Linked DNA regions of Oryzias latipes. The protein of the gene in region 1 purifies or fractionates together with the protein of each later gene. This does not show direct contact. Links are inferred from orthologs where the notes say so. Each region holds a gene or a part of one and is shown in the gene's direction. Other genes may lie near its edges. The genes, in order: probable global transcription activator SNF2L2, hdac2, CCAAT/enhancer-binding protein beta, bcl7b and ss18.

Evidence for each region.
Region 2: the proteins of probable global transcription activator SNF2L2 (region 1) and hdac2 purify together in Homo sapiens (affinity purification with western blotting; 4 studies listed by BioGRID, with this or other methods). This does not show direct contact. The link is inferred for Oryzias latipes from reciprocal best matches to the Homo sapiens genes SMARCA2 and HDAC2.
Region 3: the proteins of probable global transcription activator SNF2L2 (region 1) and CCAAT/enhancer-binding protein beta purify together in Homo sapiens (affinity purification with western blotting; 5 studies listed by BioGRID and IntAct, with this or other methods). This does not show direct contact. The link is inferred for Oryzias latipes from reciprocal best matches to the Homo sapiens genes SMARCA2 and CEBPB.
Region 4: the proteins of probable global transcription activator SNF2L2 (region 1) and bcl7b purify together in Homo sapiens (affinity purification with mass spectrometry; 3 studies listed by BioGRID, with this or other methods). This does not show direct contact. The link is inferred for Oryzias latipes from reciprocal best matches to the Homo sapiens genes SMARCA2 and BCL7B.
Region 5: the proteins of probable global transcription activator SNF2L2 (region 1) and ss18 purify together in Homo sapiens (affinity purification with mass spectrometry; 6 studies listed by BioGRID and IntAct, counting the BioPlex papers as one, with this or other methods). This does not show direct contact. The link is inferred for Oryzias latipes from reciprocal best matches to the Homo sapiens genes SMARCA2 and SS18.

What each region holds. Positions count from the first base shown.
Region 1 is NC_019867.2:1,047,522-1,051,108, reverse strand, and holds part of probable global transcription activator SNF2L2, read left to right. Parts: intron 1-1,054; coding exon 1,055-1,228; intron 1,229-1,313; coding exon 1,314-1,487; intron 1,488-1,811; coding exon 1,812-1,982; intron 1,983-2,293; coding exon 2,294-2,344; intron 2,345-2,587; coding exon 2,588-2,718; intron 2,719-3,587. UniProt on the Homo sapiens protein: ATPase involved in transcriptional activation and repression of select genes by chromatin remodeling (alteration of DNA-nucleosome topology).
Region 2 is NC_019882.2:21,613,940-21,618,322, forward strand, and holds the start of hdac2 (histone deacetylase 2), read left to right. Parts: upstream 1-1,502; 5' UTR 1,503-1,622; coding exon 1,623-1,677; intron 1,678-3,876; coding exon 3,877-3,989; intron 3,990-4,166; coding exon 4,167-4,284; intron 4,285-4,383. UniProt on the Homo sapiens protein: Histone deacetylase that catalyzes the deacetylation of lysine residues on the N-terminal part of the core histones (H2A, H2B, H3 and H4).
Region 3 is NC_019865.2:21,871,272-21,874,604, reverse strand, and holds CCAAT/enhancer-binding protein beta, read left to right. Parts: upstream 1-1,292; 5' UTR 1,293-1,488; coding exon 1,489-2,349; 3' UTR 2,350-2,821; downstream 2,822-3,333. UniProt on the Homo sapiens protein: Important transcription factor regulating the expression of genes involved in immune and inflammatory responses. Also plays a significant role in adipogenesis, as well as in the gluconeogenic pathway, liver regeneration, and hematopoiesis.
Region 4 is NC_019871.2:22,450,636-22,454,750, forward strand, and holds the start of bcl7b (B-cell CLL/lymphoma 7 protein family member B), read left to right. Parts: upstream 1-1,248; 5' UTR 1,249-1,297; coding exon 1,298-1,410; intron 1,411-1,875; coding exon 1,876-1,951; intron 1,952-2,031; coding exon 2,032-2,119; intron 2,120-2,249; coding exon 2,250-2,408; intron 2,409-3,026; coding exon 3,027-3,130; intron 3,131-3,857; coding exon 3,858-3,938; 3' UTR 3,939-4,115. UniProt on the Homo sapiens protein: Positive regulator of apoptosis. Plays a role in the Wnt signaling pathway, negatively regulating the expression of Wnt signaling components CTNNB1 and HMGA1.
Region 5 is NC_019875.2:25,752,158-25,755,744, reverse strand, and holds part of ss18 (protein SSXT), read left to right. Parts: intron 1-2,226; coding exon 2,227-2,357; intron 2,358-2,778; coding exon of another isoform or gene 2,779-2,796; exon of another isoform or gene 2,797-2,841; intron 2,842-3,587. UniProt on the Homo sapiens protein: Appears to function synergistically with RBM14 as a transcriptional coactivator. Isoform 1 and isoform 2 function in nuclear receptor coactivation. Isoform 1 and isoform 2 function in general transcriptional coactivation.

The sequences.
Region 1 (3,587 bases):
ACTATGAAACAGGCTGACGCTGAAACAGTGAAACTATGAAACTGGCTGACGCTGAAACAGTGTTACTATGAAACAGGCTGACGCTGAAACAGTTTAGCTATGAAACAGTCTGACGCTGAAACAGTGAAACTATGAAACAGGCTGACGCTGAAACAGTGTAACTATGAAACCGGCTGATGCTGAATCAGTTTAAATATGAAACAGGCTGACGCTGAAACAGTGTAACAATGAAACAGGCTGACGCTGAAACAGTGTTACTATGAAACAGGCTGACGCTGAAAGAGTGTAACTATGAAACAGGCTGACACTGAAACAGTGTAACAATGAAACAAGCTGACGCCGAAACAGTGTAACTATGAAACAGGCTGATGCTGAATCAGTCTAACTATTAAACAGGCTGACGCTGAAACAGTGTAACAATGAAACAGGATGACGCTGAAACAGTGTTACTATGAAACAGGCTGACACTGAAACAGTGTAACAATGAAACAAGCTGACGCCGAAACAGTGTAACTATGAAACAGGCTTACGCTGAAACAATGTTACTATGAAACAGGCTGACGCTGAAACAGTTTAACTATGAAACAGGCTGATGCTGAAACAGTGTTACTATAAAACAGGCTGACGCTGAAACAGTGTTACTATGAAACAGGCGGACGCTGAAACAGTGTAACTATGAAACAGGCTGATGCTGAAACAGTCTAACTATGAAACACGCTGACGCTAAAGCAGGCTGACACTGAAACAGTGTTACTATGAAACAGGCTGACGCTGAAACAGTGAAACTATGAAACAGGCTGACGCTGAAACAGTGTTACTATGAAACAGGCGGACGCTGAAACAGTGTAACTATGAAACAGGCTGATGCTGAAACAGTCTAACTATGAAACACGCTGACGCTAAAGCAGGCTGACACTGAAACAGTGTTACTATGAAACAGGCTGACGCTGAAACAGTGTAACTATGAAACAGGCTGATGCTGAAACAGGGTAAAGAAGTCTTGTAGAATCAGAATTCTGAAGTCAGTCTTAACTTGAGGTGTGCTTTGCTGAAGCTGAGGCAGGACGTGGTGGCGTGCATGAGGCGGGACACCACCCTGGAGACGGCGCTCAACTCGAAAGCTTACCGACGCAGCAAGCGGCAGACTCTGAGGGAGGCCCGCATGACGGAGAAGCTGGAGAAGCAGCAGAAGCTGGAGCAGGAGAAGAAGCGCAGGCAGAAACACCAGGTGATCGACGCTGGCGTGCACCGGCCCGTGGCCGCCACGAGCTCCTGGGTTTGTCACCTTCATGATGCGCTTTGTGTTCTTTCAGGAATACCTCAACAGCATTCTGCAGCATGCCAAGGACTTCAAAGAGTATCACCGCTCGGTTTCCGGCAAAATCCAGAAAATCACCAGATCCGTTGCCACGTGGCACACTAACACGGAGCGGGAGCAGAAGAAGGAGACGGAGAGGATCGAGAAGGAGAGGATGAGGAGGCTGATGGTGAGGAGTCATGTGGACTTCAGTCCATGTCAGAAACGGAAACCTTGTTTGCATGGCGGCCATCTTTGTTTGAAAGAATCCATGATCAAAGCGATGTTCTGTTGGAAGAGACACGCCCACTGTGGAAAGCTTTCATTCAGCGTGAAGTTCAGTCTGTGATGGAAATGAGGCTGGAAAAGCAAAGATTATTGCTCTGTAACTGTTCCACTGAGGAGAAGCCATGAAACAAACAAGGAAGAGAGGAATAGAAGACAATTACGAAAAGAGTTTCTCATGAGGGTTCAGCCTGATACCGTTCTGACCTTCTGTTGCTGTCTCTTCCAGGCTGAGGATGAGGAGGGGTACAGAAAACTGATTGATCAGAAGAAAGACAAGCGTCTGGCCTACCTGCTGCAGCAGACGGATGAATATGTGGCCAACCTCACTGCTCTGGTTTACGAGCATAAGGCTGCTCAGGCTGCCAAGGAGAAGAAGAGGAAGAAGAAGAGAAAGAAGGTATGACGAAGAGGCTCACGTTGGTCCCTCACTGTATGTTTCTGTTGCAGGTGGACGCCCTGCTGGTGTTCAGATCTTTGAATTCTTTCCCCGCTTGTTGCAGCAGAGCCCCCGACTTTCAGTACTAAAAGCAAAACATCATCTGGATATATTTCCTCTAGTTTTGTCAGGAAACCCCCAACGCGCTCTCTGGTTTCTATGAAGCTCAGCTTTCAGTCGTTCATATTTTTAAATCAAAGTTTGTTTGCTTGCTCTTAAAAAGGTGAATCTTTGATGTGATCAAACTGCTGATGTCTGTGTGGTCTGTGCAGAAGGTGGACGGAGACGGTGAAGGCACCAGCGCCTTTGGACTGGATGGAGAGGTGTGCTGCTAATGCTTCTTTTCTGCATGGGGGGGTTGAAAATAGCGTCAGGAAAGCAGCGTTTCTCCTTCCAGACGGCGTCTCAGCCCCAGAGGAGGCCATGATGGCACCTTTTAGGAAGACCAGTGCCTCCCTGTGATCTAAGATTCAGGCGTTAAAATGTGGGGTTGGGGAAAACCAGAGGAGGAGGAGGGCTTTGGAGATGAAGGCTCCTCTTTTTTACCTCCTTTTCTTGTCTTGCAGCCCATTGATGAGAGCAGCCAAATGAGCGAGCTTCCTGTCAAAGTGATTCAGACCGAGACCGGGAAGGTCCTACAGGGAACCGACGCCCCCAAGTCCAGCCAGCTGGAGGCTTGGCTGGAGATGAACCCTGGGTGAGACGCTCCACCACTGCAGCTGTAATGATCCAAAATCCCACCCGCCCCCTGCAGAGAAGATTCAGGGGGGTTCTGCTGGCGGGTTTCTGTTAAAAACACGGCTCCTTCAGTCAAAGGAAAAACATTTTGTCTTTGTTTAACCGCACTCGCACAGTTTGAATCTGTCAGCCGCAGGATTTCTCCTGGATAGGAAACCTTCACGGTTCAGTGTTCCCTCGTTTATCGTGGGAGTTACATTCTATACATAACCCACCGTCGGATGGATTCGTTTTTATTTTTACAATAATTCTAGATGTTTTAAGGCTGTTGAACTTATCATTACACTTTTTTCAGACAGACATGAACATTTTCATACTTTTCTCTCTTGTTTAAACTGTCAAACGGCCGGTATTAGAATGAAAACAGAGATCTGATCAAAATTGAAGATTTATGTAGATTTGGAAAAGTGAAAAAGTCTGTACAGGAGACTAATTAACACTAGCCAATGGAAACACTGCACTGTAAAAAAAAACATGTAAAAACTGTAAAAAAAAAAAATCCACGAGACTGCAAAAGGTGAACCGTTATAAAGCAAAGGGAACGCCATTTTCCTGCATTTGATCTTACTTTTGACCTGAAGCTCTTTGTCTTATACCATCGTCTGGATAAATTCTCGATTCTGATTGGCTGCTGTGTTTGCATTAAAAAATGATAATCCACAGTGATATCACCTAAAAAAGTAGTTCCGGTCACAAAGCTTAAATGCTTCTTTAAAACAAACTTTTTCTTCATCTACAGAGAAAAAACTGACAAAGACTTAAAATAATGTTTAGAACAATCTCCTTTTAGAGTCACAACGACACTAAAATGAGCTCCACATGAACTAA
Region 2 (4,383 bases), on another chromosome or scaffold:
GAAACATCCAATCCATTTTTATTGAAACATCCTTATTCACATTTTATGAAAGCTTGGTTTAAGAAAACCAAGAGCGATAAATGAACATGTATTCCTCATGGTTTCTAATCTTTTATGTATTTTCTAAGATTTTTTTTTTTCTGGAAAGTACTACCACAGTGGCAAAAGAGATTTCATGAGCTACAGCTTGACTGACAAGTCAAGTGCAAAATGTTCTGCTCCTGGTTAACATCTGTATTATTTCCAACAAAGAAGAAACTTGCTGATGGAATAAAGTATCTTTTAGCCCAAATTGCCTGATTGGATGAATAATCTCCAGTTTGACTGTAGATGCTGAGAAGAGAAAGCTAAAGCCTTAGTCCCAACTGCTCTTAGGGGTGGGCACGGGCTGTCTGCAGATGAAAAAGGGCCAAATCTGTATGAGACAAGCAGGCGGCCCGCACGAAATTTCAAGATTGTAGACCACTCAGTGAATGTTCATGCTCAGTTTTTCTACGGGCTGGTGCGGGCGGCAGGTCGTCAGGTACTTTAACAACACACAACGGCAGGCACAGGTGAAGTATGTAAGACACAGGCATTTCATGTTGATTTTTCATTTTTTCCGCCCCCCTGAGCAAGAACACCCATACCTCATCAGTTTGTAACTTCCATTATCCTAACAAATACTTCACCATGTACTTACGAAATGCAAAACAATAACCTTTAAGGTGGTTGTGCAAGCCTCAAGGGAACTACAAGACATCTTAAGGAGCAGCCACTCCTCTCTACGACTCTTGACGGGCCAGAAAACCCAAAAACTGTAGACTTTAGACGGCTCGTAGACTGGATCAGGTCTGTGTGCGATTGGAAGAATTTCTGACCAATCGGCATCAAACTTTATGCCCATGTCTGTGATTAACTGGCTTTTGTGACACATAGAGAATTGTTTTGATTGGACATATTTTTAGGTTTCAAGAGTAAAACTGTTTTGTTTGCACTTATTTTTGAGTCTCAAGTGCATTTTTATGTTTCAAGTGCAAAATATTTTTGAGCACACAAAATATTTCAAGTATTTCAAGTACGCTTGGAATAATGGGACACATAAATCACTCCATAGACGAGGACAAGGCCAGAGCAGAGGACCAAGTGGTGTAAGTAAAAAAAAAAGGGCTTTGTGGCTTTGAGGGAGGAGTTGAAGAAGCAGAGGTGAAGAACAAATTTAAATAAGGTTCAACAGTGCAAAGCAAAGTCCAGATAAAGGAGATTTTCACGTGCCTGAAGCATGAATTGAGTGTGAAGTGGGGCTGTGCGACTCTGAGTCTGTCAGAAGGAAGAGGCTCAAACTGGGGTAGAAGGTTGCAGAGTCTTGTACTAAAATGATCTCCTGGTGGCATGGCTAGACTACCACAGACAGAACTGGCAATCCACATATCATGTGTTGATGCCCTGCCCCAAAGACGCAAAACAAAAGAACAAGGACAAAGAAACTTAAAGTGGGGCGCAGGGGCGGAGCCCAACCTTGCCCCGCCCAGCCCACGTAGCCCCTCCCACTCAGCGACGCCGTGCAGATGTTCTCCATCCAGCTCTTGTCTTTCTGTTAACGCGAATTGAGCCTCACCTGTGGAGCTAAAGGAGCTTGTAGCATGGCGTACACGGTTGCAGGTGGAACTAAGAAGAAGGTCTGCTACTACTACGACGGTAAGAGCTGCTGTGTGGCGCACGAGCCAGGCTAACGCTAGCTGTTAGCATCGAGCATGTGCTAGCATCGGTCAGTTACGGTCGGAACTCATTTCTCCGGGGCTAAAGTCTTTTCTGCTTCATTGAAACGGTGTAAAGCCAACATCTGAGGGGGGCACTGTACGTTAAGTAGCCGGCGCCTCACGTCTGTCTCCACCCCTCGTTGTGTGAGTTACGGCTACGTACGTCAGTCTTGTTTGAGACCCAGGCAGTTCAGCCGGCGTTCTGTTGTGATCTTTCAAGATCCCACCGAGGAGAACCCACATCCGGGAACGTATGAGGAGAAAAGCTTTTAACGTCTTTAACGAGGTTGCCGTCCCACAATGCAACCATCCACAGAACACACGACTGGCAGCCTCTACTGCTTCCAGACGAGCACGCGCGGCCTGGCTCACCTACACGTCACGTGACCGTCTGCAGAAGCCCCGGGTGGCTCTAAACCTGCGTTCAGGTCCAAACACAAGCGTGTCCGATCGCTTTAAGTTATTATTTTTTTTTAAATCAAAAACCTGTGTTGTTTTCTGGGACATAGTTTCTGCAGAGCATTAACCTCTGAGTTGTGGGTGGGACTGTTGATGCAGAGCACCCCCCCCCCCCCCCCCCGTTTACACTCTACTCTACCACTAGCTTACAGCCCCTCACAACCCCATCCTCACATTAGCAGTGCAACAAAAAAGATGGCCAATATCAGATCTATCCCGATTCCAGCTCAGACGAGGAAAACAAAGACGTTCATGGATCCATTAGTCTGCAGGTGGATGCCTTAAGGCCCGTACACACCGGGACGAATATTCGCCAGGCGTTATTCGCCAGCGTTTTTCGCCACGTTTTTTGTGTTCACACCCAGGCGATTTTCGCTGACGATGAGTGGAGTGAACATGCAATTTCATTCCCTGACATTAGATGGCGCTTAATGTAAAACTGAAATACTCCTGTACACAAGGTGGCGCTGCGCAACTTTACGCTTCTTAAAGTCGCTTTTCACTCAGAAGAAGAGAGCAAGTTTTTACACGCTTGTCAGAATCAAACAAAGAAAACATGAATATTTCAAGCACCAGTAGCTCCAACTGGTGCTTGGTTCGGGGATGTTTTAGAATGTCCGTCATTATTGCTTCGCGGCTGTGTAGACGCTACTTGGCGTCTATCTTCTTCGCTGGTATGTGTGCTCAGCAAGGCAGTTTTGTGTTTGAGCGCCCCCAAGTTGTGTTTTACTGTAACTTCAGAAGCTCCAGACACGTGAGCAAAAGCGCCGTTCTCATTGGTCGAGTAGATTTCGTCGGAAAAAAAAAACGAACCCGAGGCGTTTTTTTTTGGACGCTTTAACGCCTGGCGTTTTTTCGCGTCGATGTGCACACTCTCGTTGGTGCCCTTTGTTTAGTCACGAGGCGTTAAACGTCGGCGAAAATCGCCGGCGAAATTCGTCCCGGTGTGAACAGGCCTTTAGAGTGGAACAGAACAGGGAGCTTGGGGCTTGCTTATAGCTATTCCCAACTGCATATTTTTTATCCGCTCCTGACTCACAACAGTTTGAACAAAGAAATACTCGGAAATTCAATTTTCTGTTTAATTTTCTTCATATTCAGAATAATGCTGCCAGAACGTGTTAAAAACACCATGTTCATTTAAGCAATTCACTTCACCTTTTTCTGCGGTCACATTTAGCTTAGAGCAGTCCCACGTGCACTAATGACGTGCACATCACTTTGAAATGACTAGATTACTGATGCAGATGTAGATCTTCGTGAACATAAGTGTCATAAAAGTTCAGCCCATTAGAACTGGCACTTGTTTAGAGCGGTTTCATATTTTAATAATCTGACTGAAATCATAATGTAAAGAATAAACTGACATTATGAGATGTCAGAGTACATTTTGGTTGGGAGGGTCCAGTTTGTTGGACAGGGATCAGTCCCGTTTTCTGTCTGCTGTAAACTGTTCCTGGTTTGTTTACTGAGCAGTAATAAATAACGGTGAGGATGTGAGTCATCGTTCTGAAGCTTCGGTTGTTCCACAGATCAGTGCTCTGAGTTGTCTTCCTCTGTCGTTTGCTGCTCATGTTCTCTGTTGGAACAACACAGATGCCAACAGTTGAATCAGAAAAGCTGGTGGAGCTAATGTTGGCAATCTGCATCATTGATTTTGTGTTTTTCTTGTGTCTAGGTGATGTTGGAAACTACTATTATGGACAAGGACACCCCATGAAGCCACATCGGATCCGCATGACTCACAACCTCCTCCTGAACTATGGCCTCTACAGAAAAATGGAGATCTATGTATGTTTTCCTGTGCTCTGTTGCTGTGAGGAGCGTGTCTCCATGTGACCTGATCCTCAGCAGACTTCAGACATTAGGAAACGTCGATTTAGCTTGGCGGTTTGCTCTTAGTTCTGTGTTCGCTCCTGCTTTCATTCAGTTCTGGTTTCTTCCCTTCCACCTTTCTCCTGGTTTCAGAGGCCACACAAAGCCACCGCAGACGAGATGACCAAATACCACAGTGACGACTACATCAAGTTCCTCAGATCCATACGGCCAGACAACATGTCCGAGTTCAGCAAGCAGATGCAGCGCTGTGAGTGGGCTCTGTTGACGTTCAGACAAACTTAAGGAAGCATTTTGTACAGGATACAAGTCAAGTGAAGTGGATTGTCAGTGAAGCTACAATCCGTCA
Region 3 (3,333 bases), on another chromosome or scaffold:
GCATCAAAGTCACGTGTTTTTGTGTAACATGTCACAGGAAAAATTTGAATGCTGATCCAGAATGACATCTCAGATGAAAACGTTGTCTGTATGTGACGCTATAGGAAGAGAAGGGAGCACTCCCATGGAGGCACTACAGATGTCATCTGTCATTCTGTTTGATGGAGCTGCCTGACAGGGAGCTGAAAGTAAAATGCAAACATCGAAGAAAAGTTGGAAGCAAAGGGAAAACTTCAAACTGTTTCAAAGCAGTTTTAATGGAGCAAGAATTAAACTTAAGCCAAAAAAAAAGGTTTTTCACTCAAACAACAAAAAAATGTATACATTATCAATTTAATCCCTTTGATTTATGTGCGATTATATTCAAACATCAGCCAGGCCTGATGTTAAAAGCCTTTAGATACCATTTGGAGTTTTTTTTTCTCTCCAGTACAGTCTTGTCATGATATTCTGCACCGACCGCTTCCTAACATGCAAGTCATGGTGACTTCAAATGGAAAGTGACTACCTCTGTTTTCTTCAGCAAATCACACAAGAAATGTCACACACGTGTCTTAAAATATGCAAAAGATGCTCGAAGCACCAAATTGACAAGTGCTTGACAAGTAATTTTCTAAATACTCTTAGCCACACGGTGGCAGTAAATCCCAATTTGCAAACCAGTTTCTCACCAATAAATAAATTGTAGGTATTTCTTCTCAATCTACGTGCACGTTTAAAGCAAACGTGTAATTCTTATCTGATCTTATTCAGAGTCAGTTTATTTTTGGGGCCTCATGATTGTCCAGGAGAGGCTTCTATTTTGTTCTTGCTGTGAGTCATTGGGTCATGCTTGAAGTCATGTTGTGGGATAACACTGATCCCACGAGACAGTCACATCTGTCTTTGACGACAGTGAAATGTTTCTGACACAAACCAGCACAGTGATGGATGGGGATGTGTGCATCACTTCCACAACTGTTCATTTTTGTTTTGGAAATAATGTGTTCAGAGATGTTTTGATTACAACTGAATGTGATTTTCTGCTGCAGGAGTTAAGGAAATGTGTCCAGAAAGGAGCAAAGTAATTATTTATAATAACTTGTATTGATGCTTACTGACAAACAATGAAAGACTTCACTTTAAATAGACAACAAGTCAAGTTCAGGTTTTCGTTTGTCCCGACATAAACAGATGAATGCGGGAAACGTTCTCCAAAGTGGAACAGGTTGTTCGCTGACAGGCTCCGCTCGTCACACCTGCCCTGTTAGGCCCCGCCCCCCGCGCTGTGGAATAAAACCCTCTCGAGACAGGAAGGTCTGTCAATTCCTCCCAATCCGCCACAGAAAAAAAAAGTTGCTTCTTGTTGTTGCCACATGAAGTGACGCGGGTGCTTTCAGCTCGCTGCATTCCGACACGTTTTCTCCAGTTACTCAGCTGAACTTGAAGAACTCGGGGCGCCTCACCTCAGCCCTGCCCGCTCCTGCAGTCCGGCGGGAGTGCAGATCCATGGAAGTGGCCGGCTTGTACGAGGAGGGAAGCTTTGCTATCCACGGCAGAGACGGTATCATCAGTCCCATCGTCGGCGGCTCGTACTGGCGGCTCGGTGACTCGATGACGGAGCTGGGCATTGAGGAGCGGGAGAGAGCGATAGACCTGAGCGTTTACCTGGACCCAGCCTTCCACTGCGCGCAGCTGGCGGCGCAGACGCAGCCGCAGGGGGACGCGTACTCTGACTTTCTGGCGGAGAGCAAGATCAAGAGAGTCTCAGCTCTCCAGAGCTACAGGAACTACTCTTTGCTGGGCGAGCTGGAGTCGAGCCAGTGCGACCCCCGGCAGCCCTACTCGCTGGGCTACTCGGAGCTGCAGGAGACGCGCGCGGACAGCGTCCTGAGCCCCGAACTGAGCCGCTACAGAACCGCCGCCGCAGCCGCCGACAGAGACGACAACCTGGAAGACGCCAAGATGGAGAACGGCTCGTCCGGGTTCGACATGAGGTCCTATCTTCATTACCAGTCCACCAGCAGCAGTCTGGGGAACATCTCCACTGCGTCCTCCACCTGCTCCAGCCCGCCCGGCACACCTGCGCCCTCAGGTAAAGGCAGGTCACCGTCTCACGGCGGCAAGGGGAGCAGCGGGAAGTCTAAAAAACGATTGGACAAGGACAGTGAAGAGTACAAGCTGAGGAGGGAGAGGAACAACCTCGCCGTGAGGAAGAGCAGGGACAAAGCCAAAATGCGCAACTTGGAGACTCAACACAAAGTGCTGGAACTGGCCGCGGAGAACGACCGTTTACAAAAGCGCGTGGAGCAGCTGTCTAGGGAGCTGGCCACGCTGCGCAACCTGCTCTCAGCAACTGGACAATGTTAGGTACCCCCCTCCCACGAGAGAACCCCCCTGTGCCGCTCCCTCAAGTGGACTGGAGAGTGCACGGTGATCCAAACGGTACACAGGTGAAGGCGGCCATCCCCAGTTTACAATGGACACTGAATAAGACTGAACAAGTGGGTGCATGGATTGCGCAACCGTTCACCACTCTTTACATGTCACTGTGGCTTTTTCCTCACATGTAATGTTTGTGTATGCAGTATTTCTGTGCAGGTTTTACATACATACATTCATACCCTTGAATTTCTAGATTTTTGTGTGTGTGTGTGTGTGTGTGTGTGTCTGCAGCAATGGCTGTCAACGGGGAGAGTTGTGCTGCAGTGAAATGATGCAACTCTTTGTAATAGTATTGGCAATGAATGAAATAAGTCTAATTATTTAAGATTTAAAAAGGTGAAATGCTTTAATTGTACTTGACATTGGATTAAATAGATTTATACTTTGTTTAAAGGAATTTGCACGCTCTTTTCTGTCCTTTCCTCCGCAGGTTTAGGGTGCAGACAGGCACACAGACATGGGCGTTCACACTCAGACTCACACTTAATCCGTTACAGCATATTGCGTTGAGGAAAACGGCTGTTTTTATAATCCAGGTTTGCGTAAAATAAACTACAAATCACGAAAAGAATCCTACAGGCCTTTAAATATTTGAACCTTTGTTGCACAAAACGTTATTAATTAATCATACGTATTTCATTATAAAGTAGAAAATATAGTTCTCTGTAGTTAAAAAGCTTTAAAAAATATAGTTTGGAATCTTTTTAGTCATTGGTTTTTGTCAAATTGCACTTAAAACAAACATCTCTTGCAGATAACCTTTTACACAAAACACAACCTAACTCCTCACACTCTTTTTTTTCCTCTTTTTAAACAGGTTCATTTTCGTTTCTGTTTATTTTAAATAATTGACGCATTCTCCCAAGGGTCCTAAAATAAATCAAACCCATTTATGCTGAAATGATACTG
Region 4 (4,115 bases), on another chromosome or scaffold:
TTTAAATATTTGAACACAGACAAACACATATTTATTTATATTTATAACACGCGTCCTCGTGTATTTTCTAACAGGGTCATATTTACGTAGCTCTGGACATGTTAGAAAACATCTTCCCTCAAAATAATCATTTGTGGCCATGAATTTGTATTTTGTGTGCACAAATTAGCATTTTGAAGCCACATTTTGGTAATTCATGGCCACAAATCAGCATTTTCTAAACATTTGTTGTGGGCACAAAGTAGCATTAATAGGAAAAAGGTTAGTACACAAGTTTGAAGGTAGCATTTTGTGTGTACAAATAAGCATTTTATTACTATTTTTTGCACACAAATTAGCATTTGCACAAATGTACAAACTGGCAAATTGTAGTCGGACAGTAGCGTTTTGTGGCCACAAATTAGCCTTCCGTTATAACAACTTAGCATTTTATGAGAACAAATTAGTTTTGTGCAAACAAATTAGCATTTCATTAGCATTTTGTGGGCACGAAAAAGGATTTTATGGGCAATGTATGCATTTGGTTTGCACCAAATTTGTATTTTGTGCATACAAGTTTGCTGTGTACACAAAATTAGTATTTAGTGCACACAAATTAGAATTTTTTGGACACAAATGAGTATTTTGAGCAAACAAATTGGCATTAAATTGGCATTTGGTGGTCACATATTAGCATTCTGTATGAACATGTTCTTATCTTCTCAAAATTCGTATTTTGTGTGCACAAGTTGCAATTTATTAGCATTTTGTGCCCACAAATGAGAATTTGTGGGCATAAACTGCTACTTTGTGTGCACAAATTCGCACTTTGTGGACACAAATAGTATTTTGTCTTCACAATTTGTGGACACAAATTTATATTTTGTGGGCACAAGTTGGTATTTTTACAACACTCGGTGGGCGTAAATGAGTAGGCCTAGTTTGTGTGCGCAAATGAGCATTTATTACACACAAATTAACATTTTGTGTTTACAAAATAACATCATGATGTACGCACATCTACATGCACAAATTGGTGTTGTGTGCACAAATTTCTAATTAGCTAATCCGAGGCCACAAATTATTAATTTGAGGGAACCATTGGTCTTTTTTGTGCCATGTACAGGGCTTCGTACATATTTTATTATTTCCTGAAACGTTCAAAACTATCCCACGCACTTCGAACACACTATAACTTACATTATCGGTACATGACTGAGCACAAAACCTCAAGATTACAGAAAACGAGGAGGTCCAAGTATCGCGAGATTTATCCCTCTGGGAGGATCGGGGCTTGAAGTTTCAGATGCATCGGTAGATGAATCATAACGGGATCAAGATGTCTGGACGATCAGGCCGCGCTGAGACCCGAAGTCGGGCCAAAGACGACATCAAAAAGGTCCTGGCGGCCATCGAGAAAGTGCGCAAATGGTATGTAAACTGCGCGGCGCAAAAAGGGCATGAAAATCGAGACCGCGGCGCGATATCTTGCTGCGTAGCTCAACAAACTTCAGTCGGGAAAGTTGGATGATTGACAAGGCTTTCGACCAACCAGCGCGCCCGTTTGACAGAGGAGGCGGGGCTAGTTGAGTTTTTCCGCCGACAGCTGTCAATATGGCTCCAGCAGCTTCACATGCGGCGGCTTGAGAAGTCGGCGAGCCTCCTGAGAGCTGCATTGCTGTGGAAATCAGACACTAACGCGTTACATTGAATTTCCTCCATTCTGCTGTGCACGGAGAAGTAGAGGGTTTTGATCAGATATTAGCTCCGCTGCACCGGACTATGAAAACACGCGTGACTAATAAATGCGTTCATTTCTCTATTATTATTACGACGCCCTGAAATCTAGCAGCTGCTAGGAGATTTCCCCATGATCCAACGTACATTTCTCCTCAGGGAGAAGAAATGGGTGACGGTTGGAGACACGTCCCTGCGCATATTCAAGTGGGTTCCAGTCACTGAAACGAAACAGGTGTGAGCCTCAGTCAATAAAACACACAGAGACCTGTGTCACGACCTGCATCCTCCTGATGGGTTTCATCCTCTTTCCAGATCTTTCGGACCAAATCTACGGGTGGAGACGTTAGGGGACTGAAGGATGTGGTTCTGGAAAACACCAACTCTTTGCTGGATTTCACAGGTAGCCTGAGGATTCCTAAAGAACATTTTCTTTATCATTCATATCTTGGATCAATTGGGTTTGATTTAACCAGATCAAAGTGATCCTCCATTCCAAGGGTTTCATGATTGTTCCAAACGTCTGCTCTTAGATGACAACAGCAATCAAAGCTTCATGTCAGACGTTTATCAACCAAAAATGGACAACAGCAGCAGCAACTCCAGCTCCCAGCAGGTCAGCCCCCCGCATACCTTCAGCCTCCGAGCGGAGGACTCCCAGCCGCCCATGCTGGGCCAGGAGAGTGTGGATGGTATGTAAATAAAACCATGTCCAGAACTGTCATTAAAATCCTGTTTTTGGTGTTTCTAACATGTTCTTGTTGCATTTTTCTGATGATGGCCATGTATAAACAATTATAGCTTAAAACTGCATTTCTGAGTATTTTTTTATTCAAACTGTGAATCAGGAGCAGATAAAAAAAAAAAAAGTGGTGGAGGATAAAGCTCCCTGCTCTGCTCCATTTCGATGCATCCACAATCATATCCATGTTCGCCTTTGTTCTCCTTGTCCAAGCTGGCTGGATGCTCCAATGTTGCTCACCAGTTTCACCTGTAATGTTTTGTTGGGGTTGTAGGGGGCTGTAAGCTACTGGGAGTGAGTGTAAACAAAGGAGATGATGGGAAATTACTCTGCGCCAGTGGTCCCGCCCACAACTCAGAAGAATTCCTAATGAACTGCTGCTGCTCTGCAGAAACTCTCCTAAGAAACAATACAAGTTTTTTTTTTTGTGTGTGTGGCTAAAAATAGCATAATAATAATTAAAAGACCACTGGGAACACTGAAAATAGATCAGAAGATGACTTTAAATGAATAAAAACAAAATCTCTTCCTAACTTAATGACACAGTGTCTTCTCTCTCTTGATGCAGAACCAGTCCATTTGGGACAGGAAGGTGCAGATGAGCCACCTACTCTTATTAAAGAGGACCCTCTCTCATCTGGAGCCATCAAACGGGGAGCTTCAGATATACAGGTTTCTCTTCGACAGCTTCCAAGACAAACTCAAGCACATCTTCATGAAATACAGTGGTCCCCTTAGTATATTGCGCTTGGAATAAAAGAGTGTAATTCTGCGTGTTGTTCTTTCTAACAGCGTATCGTGTTCTGCCCCCTCATTGGCTCTTGACAACGGTCAATCAATCTCCTCCATGCACTATCTCCTAAGCAGTCTGTTTGAAAAATGGGCACAAATCTTCAATTGTGATCAGATGTTTGCTTTCCGTCTATGATCCTTTACATACTTTTCTGGGAAGGTTTGAACTTTGAGAGTTTAAGCAAGAGAAAAAAACTGGGAAAATGTTCATTTCTGTCTGAGAAAATAGTATAAAGTGTAAAATAAAGATAAAGTCCCACTATCTGTCACACACCTAGGTGTGGGAAATTTGTTTTCCGCATTTGACCCATCCCCTGGGGGAGCGGTGAGCTGCCGACGAGCCGCGCTCGGGTGGTCCAAGCCAACCCCTTAATGTTGAGTGTCAAGCAGGGAGGCATTGGGTCCCATTTTTAAAGTCTTTGGTATAGTAAAGTGGTATAGTAGGCATTCCAGCCTTGAAACATCTGTAATGCTACTCTGTGGATTTCATCTATCGCAGCGATAAACGAGGGGACACTGTATCCCATTTCACGTCGAGTTAGTTATGTCCTGATAAGTTTTGAGGTGTAAATAGAAGCTGACATGTCTAACTTGTACTCTTGTCCAGCAGGAGGACCTACCGGTAGATGAATCGGGGGCACCGCCTTTGAAGAGGATTTGCAAAGGGGAAAATGCAGCGCTGAGATAGCTTTTGTACCACCTTTTTGTCCGTAATGCATAAGAAACCTGCTTGGATGTTGGGAAATTAACAACATTTTCAGAATTATGATGGGTTTCTTTTTACATGTTTATGCAAGTATTACTCATTACAGTTCAGCTGAGACTTTTTAAACTGTTATGAAGCTTAAAGTGCAAAGCAGAAGCG
Region 5 (3,587 bases), on another chromosome or scaffold:
CGTGCAGCGTTTGCGTGCGGTTAGTAAGGAGCCAGGACGCGCACCTTGCTGAAGACTAGAGTGCGGGGTTAGGTCGCTCTAAGTGTGTGGAACTTGCATTATCCTTACAAAAACTTGACAGTACACTTCCCAACACGCAGGGAAATCGTACATTCCGCTCTCATGACATCCCTTAAGATGGCCTCAGGACACACATGTGCTCGCCTTAAGACGCAGCCGCTCCTCTCTACGATCCTCCATCGCCCTGGATAGCCTGTTGCACCTGTACGCGTCAATAGGCTATCCGGGTTTAAGCATTTACTTAAAAAAAACAAAAAAAAGAGTATAGAAATAAACATGATTTAATCAGGATCTGATATCATTTGAAGTGTGGGTTTACTTGCAGGAGCTCTTAAGGGATTTCTCTTTGTGGCAGTTTTCTCTAGAACTTTCTGTCAGTTGCCCTCTTTGTGAGCCAGAGCTGTAGTTATTAATGAGCCAGCTGAGATGCCGAGGCTGTGAGGTGAGATCCATCTGGCACATACACACGCCTGCTCTCTCAGGCTCCCACAAGGTTATGCACAGCAGCATAAGGCATTAGGAGGGCCTAACGATGCTGCGTGGGCCTCATTTGACTTCCACCCAAGTCTAGTTTGCTCGGTCCTTCACAGTATCGGCAAAGATGGCTCCTGTGTACAGAGCTGGATTATAAATAGGTCTCTCTCTCTCTTTATACATATATACATATTTATTTTCTTTAGCTTGTTTTTTTTTTTATGTGTAACTGCTCCCTGACCTCAGTGTGACTCATTTGGTTGCATCCATAACTTGCTAACATGTTTCAGAAGCAGCCTAGGCAAATATTTGATATTCTTCTGTCGGTTGATCCTTGCTATAAAGCAGTGCTTCTCAAATAGTGGGACACGCCGATGCGATGCCAGGAGGGGCGCGCGGTAGTGGCGGTTTTAGGCACAGGTAATACGGGCAAATGTCCGGGGCGCAAATTTAACATGGGGGTGGTGACGACAGCGGCTCAGTGCGAGGAAAAAATCTGCGCCACTATTCGGTTCCTATTGTCTGTTAAATCACACACAGAGTTTGTAACAGCCTGAAACTTTTGAATCCCCGTCCCTGCAGCTGCGCGCTCCCGTCTCCTGTCACACGCGTGTGTGAGAACGAAAGGGGAGGGGTAGTAGGCTCAGGCTGCCAGGTGAAATGGGGCACGCGGAGAGCTGCAAGCACTGCCTGGATTAGCACCACCAGGATCATCACATGCTTTTAGATTACTCAGTTCATGCTAATAATGTCATCCTTCATTAACTGTTATAGATATTTTGATGACATCTTTATTTTTCATAAATGTATTTTTTGTCTGCCTGTCGTTTAGTTGGTGTCAGTATTTGAAATAAAGACAGCAGGTAATGCAGGAAAACCGCTGCACTTTATGAGATCATAAATAAACAATCCATCATTTAGAAAAACATCAGCACAATGTTTTTATCTATCTCTACAGACTAAAAAGGTTAAATATATTGGTGCTGCTCTGTTAATGTTTCAGATCAATTTACATTTAATATTATTGATTGACTAAATTATTTTTCTCAGCATCAAATGGTTCAGTTGGTCAGAATGTTTCTATTTTAAATAAGGACTGATAGATTTTTTTATTTCAGGCACTTTAAGCTTTTTTCTTTTAGACTATAACTGGGTTTCTGTGGCTAAATAAAGTCAATATTTGTTGAAAATTATTTTTATTGCTTTTTTTCTTTTGTTAGTGTTAAAAGATACAACTTTAGGGATACTTACACACATTTTATAGATACTAACCTAATATATTGTCACTTGGGTCAATTTCTCACTTCACCATTCAGAAGAATAAGGCTTCAAAAAGAAAGTAGTGAACATGGTGTCCGAATTGCTTTTATTGTTGGAGCATTATGGGTACTGTAGTCAGGTTTCTCACTGAGTGATGCATACTGTCCTTCAACTGTCTGTGAATGAGTTGAATAAAGTTTACTTCTAACTTTATAGTCACTTATATTAAAAGCTTGTTGTTTTTCTTTAACCAGGGATCCACAACGGAGGTGGAAAAGTCACGTTTAGACCCCTATTTTAGCTGAACAACTAGTCCTTTGGTTCAGACTGACAAAATTAAGACTTTTGGTTTATCAGAAATGGAATGTGTTGGTTTTTCAGTTAGCCGTCCTTTTAAGAGCGCCACCTTACATCTGTTTGTGCTCACTTTAGGCCCCTCCCAAAGTGCTCCGGGACAGTACCCTAACTATCCGCAGGGGCAGGGCCAACAGTATGGGGGCTACCGTCCTCCCCAGCCCGGACCCCCTCAGGGCCAGCAGCAGCGCCCGTACAGTTACGACCAGGTGAGTATAGCAGCAGTCACCGGATTGTTTGGAATTCCGATTTTCTTACAAATTAAACAAGTTTATTGCCAGAAAAAATGCTTTTCTAGCTCTCAGTGAAACCACAGACAATGAAGTTTAAAGTCAAGAATCATGTTGTGTTATGCATGCAAACATCCTATTGGGTGGTTGAGTCTGTTTGTTCCAGAAGATTGTATATGCTGCTGCTGTGTTTGAAATGTTAACCGTAGTGTTGGTTATTTCTTCTGGTTCATGTGGTGTGCCTCCTTTGAAATACCAGGGCTTTAAATAGGATTCTTCCTTAAACTTGAGTCAGTTTGCTCCATTGTTTAAAGTGCAATCCGTTTTCTGCCCTGTATTTCCCATGGTCTTCTGTGGGGACCAGAGCTACACGTTGATATCTTTATCTTTGAACATTCAGGGGCACATGAGGAAATAAGGAAGCGGGGATTTGAACCCCTGACTAGCTCTGTAAGAAGCAAAGGTAATGGTTGCTGTGAAGACCTCAGGGTCCAATCTAGACACTTGACCACCTAGAGTTAATTTGCATTTTCTAATGTTTCTTCTATCTGTCCTCTTCTTCTCTTTTTTTATTTTTTGATTCAACCTTTTTTAAGTTCTTCCATTTCTGTTTAACTCTACTGTTGTTGTTTTAACCAGGGGTCGAATTGTCAGAAATGAGGTCCCAAAACAAAAGCATGCGTAGTCTGTAGTGAGACGTCTCCTCAAACTTTAACACTCGACGAACAATGTGCTTGTGATGAAGCTGCGATTGTTGGGGTGTAGCGGTACATGTGATCTCCTCAAAACTGGGGCTCCAGGTGATGCGCCTGTGCTGCCAAACAAATATCTTGCCTCTCAATTTAGTTCCCATTTGTTTTTGCACAATCTAAACATTTAGTAATTTAAATTTCTACAAAACAAAATTTTCAGCTATTCTTTTGTGATTTTGAGTATTTTCAGGGACAAAAATTCAAATATTGTGATTTCATTAATGAAAAGGACAAACCAGCAGTGCTTTGTCTAGCTTTTTCAAATGATTGAAGTTAATCATGAATGTTTATTTTTAATTGTAAGGGTTTTCCTACCGTAGTTGTTTTTGAGTTGACTGGAAGTAGTTTAAGAGTACTTTTAAGGAAACAATGCAAAGTTAAGGCACCTAAGATGATCAACAGTCAAAAACATCTTTACTTTATGAAAAGTCTGATTTAATTTTATTTTTTTAATCAA